2 linked regions of the Sus scrofa genome follow. The protein of the gene in region 1 purifies or fractionates together with the protein of each later gene. This does not show direct contact. Links are inferred from orthologs where the notes say so. Each region holds a gene or a part of one and is shown in the gene's direction. Other genes may lie near its edges. The genes, in order: USP12 and PHLPP1.

The links.
Region 2: the proteins of USP12 (region 1) and PHLPP1 purify together in Homo sapiens (affinity purification with mass spectrometry; 4 studies listed by BioGRID and IntAct, with this or other methods). This does not show direct contact. The link is inferred for Sus scrofa from reciprocal best matches to the Homo sapiens genes USP12 and PHLPP1.

What each region holds. Positions count from the first base shown.
Region 1 is NC_010453.5:4,614,249-4,617,080, reverse strand, and holds part of USP12 (ubiquitin carboxyl-terminal hydrolase 12), read left to right. Parts: intron 1-621; coding exon 622-700; intron 701-1,690; coding exon 1,691-1,792; 3' UTR 1,793-2,832. UniProt on the Homo sapiens protein: Deubiquitinating enzyme that plays various roles in the regulation of the immune response and inflammation.
Region 2 is NC_010443.5:158,647,015-158,650,837, reverse strand, and holds part of PHLPP1 (PH domain leucine-rich repeat-containing protein phosphatase 1), read left to right. Parts: coding exon 1-31; intron 32-2,864; coding exon 2,865-3,093; intron 3,094-3,823. UniProt on the Homo sapiens protein: Protein phosphatase involved in regulation of Akt and PKC signaling.

The sequences.
Region 1 (2,832 bases):
GAGATCCCCAACCCACTGAGGCTGGGGATTGAACCTGCATCTCCATGGATACTAGTCGAGTTTGTCTCCACTGGGCCACAACAGGAACTCCAAGAATGTCATTTTCTTAAGGACGTTGATCAAGTTTGAACTTGATTTCAGAACATGGATACGGTATATTTTTTCAAGCATATCACATGGATTCTTTCCTGGAGGAAACTATTGCCAAGGGAGTAAGGCTCGAAAATATGCATTGTTGTGTATTCAGTTCAGCATGTTCTGGCTGTGATTGCCTCTCTTATCCCCTCCATCCCCAAATGCTGCAAAATTTTATTAAAATTTTTCATAGAAGCAAATTTGAAATTAACTTAAAACATAATTTAAAAAGGTAACAAAGAATTTTAATAGTACACCTTTATACAAGTGGACTAACTGGTTATATGTCTCAGAGAACTAATTACTTGCTTTTAAAATTGAATGCCAGTTCAAATCAGTGCAGCCTGATCTTTGGGGGGAAGGATAGGTAAGGAGTATTTTTATCTGTTTGAGTTGCTCTGCTTTATAGAACATGAAATTTGGGGCACGGAGGGATGATATTAATAAACGTCGAATAAAATTAACTTCTCTTTCTCTCTGTTTTAGTGGTCCCAATCGAGGCCATTATATTGCAATAGTTAAGAGTCACGATTTTTGGTTGTTGTTTGATGACGACATTGTAGAAGTAAGTCGTTTCCGAATTTCGTGTTTTTCTTCAAAATCGTGTATATATTTTGCTCTTCATGTTTGTCTCCCAGCTTCTTATTTGTATATACGGGTGATGAATGTCAGACAAATATCCGAGTTCAGATCGTGGTCTGACTCCTACTTCTTACTCCCTAATAGCCAGTTCCAGTGCTGGAATAGTTGGCGAACCTTTAAAATGTTCAGGATCAAAAACAAGGGAAATCTTTTAACAGCAGAGGTAGTTTTTTTTTTTAGAAAAACTTAAACTATTAAAAAAGAATTTTTGAGGCGGGTTCCCGTTGTGGCTCAGCAGAAATGAATCTGACTAGAATCCATAAAGACGCAGGTTCGATCCCCGGCCTCACTCAGTGGGTTAAGGATCCGGCATTGCCATGAGCTGTGGTGTAGGTCGCAGAGGCAGCTTGGATCTGGTGTGGCTGTGGCTGTGGAGTAGGCCGGTGGCTACAGCTCCGAATGAACCCCTAGCCTGGGAACCTCCATATGCTGCAGGTGCGGCCCTAGAAAGACAGAATGTATAAATCATTTCTGAGCTGTAACCTACATACAGTAGAGAATGCCAATCTTAAGCAACAATTTAAATTTTTACACGTGAATGCATACATATATGTACACACACAACACACAGCTGCCATCCAGATGACAAAACAGTGTATTTTCTGGAGTGCCCATCCTGGCTCAGTGGGTTAAGGATCCAGAGTCAGCTGTGGTGTAGGTCGCAGATGCTGCTCGGATCCCGCATTGCTATGGCTGTGGCGTAGACCAACGGCTGCAGCTCTGATTCCACCCCGAGCCTGAGAACCTCCATATGCCACATAGGGTGTGGCCCTAAAAAGACAAAAAAAAAAAAAAAAAAAAAAAAAAAATCATAAGAGGAAAGGCCTTATTCTAAGAAATGTTGAGGATTTTGCTCAGTTTAAGCAGTTCGGAGAACTCATTCTTGTCCTAATGTTTATGCTTTGCCTCGAAGAAAATAGATGCACAAGCTATTGAAGAATTCTACGGGTTGACATCCGATATCTCCAAGAACTCGGAGTCTGGCTACATCCTTTTCTACCAGTCTCGGGACTGAGGGAAGCGTCACGGAGACTTTCTGCCTCATGTCTTCTCTGGTCGTTTGGGCAAGGATCAAGCACGGATGTTCCCAAGACGAGAGAAGCGAATGCAGGGAGCTCTGGGGGCAGTGGCGCCCTTTGCACACAATAAAGCAAAGACCGTGGATGGACATGCTCTTCCCGTCCTGGCGGTCGCTGGGTTTGCTCAGGTATCACACTGTCTGCGCAGCTGCACACGAAGCGAGAGCAGAGGTACCAGCTCCTCTTGTCCAGCAGCCTTCCAGTAATTGACACGCATCTTCTCCTCCTCCGTGGCACCCGTCGTGGTTGAACTCCTCGGGGGTGCAGTAGAAAGCATAGGAGTCCGTGTGAGGTTGGCCGGAGGCCGCGGGGGCAGCATTGAGCACACCGCATCCGCCTGGCTGGGTCGAACCCCTTGAGAAGGAATCCTGGGTGGTCTTTCCAAGTGTAAACCAGAAACACTTTTGGGCCCAACATTTGCAGTCGCCTTCCTGATGTAAAGAAACTAACAGATGCTAGAATCCAGTGTCAGGAAGACAAATATGTTTGCTTCTCTGAAGAAGCTTTTAATCATATACAGTATATGTATATCTAGGGAACAATTGGTCAAAAGCGGCTTTTTGTTTCCCCAAGGGGAAAGACTGGCTTTGTAATTATACTTGGTTTCCTTATTTATTTTCCTTAAAACTGGTAGAGTCCAAGTGTTGTATGAAGTGCCCATGATTCTGCCAGTGACTTGGAGCATATTTTTATTAGTTTTCGTCGGTTTAACTAATCCTTTTGTTTGTTCCTATTTTTAAGGTGAATTTTAAACTATTCTAAATCGTAAGTTACCTTAAGACCCATTGCAGTGAGAGGAGGTAGATACTCTTTTTTTCAGGAGGAACTGATATCTCGGCTACACATTCGTCCTCGTTGTAAAGTCAGTCATCTGATTCAGCTTTACTTTCAGGAAAATAAAGGACTGTCAGAATCTCGGTGTGGTTGTGGCAGGATGGACGAGAGCGCGGGCAGTGGTGGCGTGCGGGTCCGAGAA
Region 2 (3,823 bases), on another chromosome or scaffold:
ACATGGTCAATACGTTCATTGTTATGCAAAGGTAAGACTTAAAATACTGCTGTGTGTTTTCTTGCTCTTTTTGAGTGCTTGCCATCTGGTTAGAAAAACAAGTGCCCAGTAATGTCAAAGCATCTTGTTGAATCTGGGTTTTTTGAGGTGCCTTCAGGCAGTTTGGTTTTGCCCAGGCATCAGGGCTAGACTGTATACTGTTCGAGACATACTGATGTTCAGACAACTTTGTAGGAGGCCGAATCAGTAATAGGAATTCAGTTTCTTTTTTTTTTTTTTTTTTTTTTTTTTTTTTTTTTTTTTTTTTTTTTTTTTTTTTGTCTTTTTGCTGTTGTTGTTGTTGCTATTTCTTGGGCCGCTCCCACGGCATATGGAGGTTCCCAGGCTAGGGGTTGAATCGGAGCTGTAGCCACCGGCCTACGCCAGAGCCACAGCAACGCGGGATCCGAGCCGTGTCTGCAACCTACACCACAGCTCACGGCAACGCCAGATCGTTAACCCACTGAGCAAGGGCAGGGACCGAACCCGCAACCTCATGGTTCCTAGTCGGATTCGTTAACCACTGTGCCACGACGGGAACTCCCAGGAATTCAGTTTCTCCTAGACCTGGGTCTCATGAGCCTGTCGTGATTCCAGATTTTCACTAGATTTTTTTGTGACACACTCCTCTTCCCCCAAATCACTTGTGCTCCAGATGCTCTCTAGACCTCCTGGTGTGTGGACTTCTCTTTGAAATGGACTGTTTCCACCTCAGTTTGTTCCTCCACATGAAATAGCATCACTGATTCGAGAAGCATCAACCTTTGTGAACTCGAGGTGGTCACATTTGAGGCCAGGAGTTAAATGATTCTTTATATATTGTTTTTTTCCCCTTATTAAATGTTCATGACAATTTTAATAGTAGAATCCTAGCCCATTCCCTGGAGTTTCTGGTCACTGTGGAAGTCGTGGAATGTTGTTTGTAACTGAGGGCTGAATGTTATGAGCATTCCCTCATTATAAGAATTGCTCGCTCTTTTGTCACTTTAAAGGCTTTGTAGGTTGTCAAGGAATTGCCTATTAATATTGTGCTTCAGACACTCTCCAGGAAGCGGAGAGTGCTCTAAAGGTCATGGGAACAATGACGATCTGTTCTCTTTCTCTCCTTTTTTCTCTCCCTTCATAATCTGCCAGAGGAAGTATCTTTACAACAGGGGTAGAGAAAAAAAATCAGATAAGGAATGCTGGTCCTGAGAAACCTCAAAAGTTCCCCTAAGTCATAAATACTCAGTAGAGGCAGGCCCAGTGAAGTTCTTTGCTGCTTGACTCACATGTCTTTTAGATTCTCATGTGCAGTTGATAATTGATGCTGACAATAGCTGATATTTAGTGAGCCCTTAAATGTACCAGTCATTTTTCTAAATATATTAGTGCCATAAATTGTACCCAGTGAGATAGAATATTACTACTCTTATTTTACTGATGAGAAACTGAGGTACAGGGAGGGGAAACAGCTTGCTCTAAGAGCTAGTAGACGGTGCAGCCAGAATTTGATTCCTGAGAATATTCTACCTATCAGCCATATCTGCTTTTCTTTTGGACCACCATCTTGTTTTAGGAAAAAAGCAAACACATATCATACACACAGACCACACACCGTACACACACACCCCTAAGAAGTATACTCTTTATAGACCCTCAAGCGCTAGATAAGAATTAAGAACTTAAGAACATCAAACTCTGATTCCTTTTGACAAGTACCATCCTATTTTTGGCTTTTCTGAGAGAAACCATTGTGCCTTTGACAGGAAGAAAGCGCTGCCTTGGCAGGGCCTAAAGCCTAATCTGGCCATAGATGTGCGGAAGTTGGATTTTAGAGGCCCAGATTGTCAGCCTACCTCGAGGTCTTTTGTCTGCCTCTTGTTTTCCCTATTGGCTGTTAGGACATGGGATGTGTGGTGATCTTTTCAGTCCTCAGGAAAACTGTCTGTTCTTTGTGCATGACATCCTAATGCATGTGAACAGGCAGCCCTGGTTTCCATTGCTGTGTTCTTCTTGCCTCACCTGGACATGATGGCAGCTGACAGGACCTGCAGATCTGCCCTTGTAAACAGAGGAGTCTGTCTCTCTGAATCTTTTGGCCCCCGTACCACTCAGGACCAGTCTGGGAGGCACTGCCATCCGTGGGCCTTGGGATAGGAATTCTTAGCTCCTTTTGATTATTGGAACTTGCAGGTACATTGTGTATCTAGTAAGTGTATGGACTAATGGGGAGTAAAAGCTCTTTGGAGCTTGATTACTAGAATGTCTCTTCCATGAATGTTCATCCATGAATAGACATCACTTGTCCAGAAAGTCTTTGCTGTATAGGACAAGTACATGAATGGTCCAGTACTTGAAAGCTCAAACCAGCAAACATCCTGATAAAGAGAACGGTGATCAGGACATTCTGAAGTGTCAGTGGGTGTAATGTGTCATACCTGCCTCTGTGAAGTTGTCCCTCCAGCTGTCCTCTCAGCAGCAGAAGGGCTTTGAGAGGTGGGTAGGGAAGGAAGCAGTCATCCCTGCTGTCTTTAGGGTGCCCTGACACAGGAGTAGCAGGCTGGATGCAGCAGGAAAAGGGCTCCTTTATCCACGTCAGCTCCTAGGGCTTTAGTGGTAAAGTTGACACTCACCCCACTTGTGAGCAGACACCTCTCTGTGTACATGTGTGTGTGTCAGATTCCGCAGGCTCCTTTCCTAAGTTGAGCAGTGCCCACTTCAGTGAAAGGGGCCAAGTGGAACCCCAAGTTCTGTTTTTCTTCCTAGCGTCATCCAGGGGCAGAGTCTGGCACAATGACACATGACAGCTGTGTGTGGGTTTTTGCCCTCTCTTCATACCCTAGGAAGCTTGGAACTGCTGGGCAGAAACTTGGAGGTGCTGCTGTCCTGTGTCATATCAAGCATGATCCTGTGGACCCAGGAGGACCCTTCACCTTGACCTCTGCTAACGTGGGCAAGTGTCAAACAGTTCTCTGTCGGAATGGGAAGCCGCTGCCTCTGTCCAGATCGTATCTCATGAGCTCTGAGGAAGAACTGAAGAGAATCAAGCGGCACAAGGCCATTATCACTGAGGTGAGGAAGAGCAGTTTTCCTCAGGATCAGGGAGGACAGGGCCAGGTTGTGGCAGAAACCAGCCGGGGAGCATTTCCCTCTAAAGAACATTCTTTAAACACTGAAGTTGATTTAAAATTAAAATTCCAAATCCATAGTGTCACAGAGCACACTCTGTGTGTGATATGTCTGAAGACATTATAATGTGCAGAATAATAAAGCACTTATCGATGGCCTCCTCGGGTCAGGGGCCTATGCCAGGTTCATGCCACTGCACCATCTGAACCTCACAGCTGCTCTGGTGGCTGAGGTTTCTAGCCCTGAAGTCACGCTGCTGGTCCTCCTATGCTTGCTCTGGCGCTTGTGGGCTGCAACCTTTAAACCTCTACGCCTGTCTCCTCATCTGTGAAGTGGGAATAGTGATGTATCTGGCCTGTCTTAACAAAGCTGGGGTGTGTCAGTGTAGCCAGTTATTATTTTGGTTCACACCTCATGCTCCACTTGAGTAAGTGATTCTCAACCAGGGGCCATTTCCACCCCAGAGATAGTTGGTAACATCTGAGTACAACTGCACTTCACAACTGGGGTGGAGAGTGGGTAGAAGCCAGGGGTGCTGTTGAATATCCTGCAGCGCACAGGACAGCCCCATGACAAGGAGTTATTTGGCCCAAGATGTCAAAAGTACTGCTGTTGAGAAACCCTGGAGTCAGTGTAATTATACAGGATTGGTTACAGTGCAGCTTCCAGGATG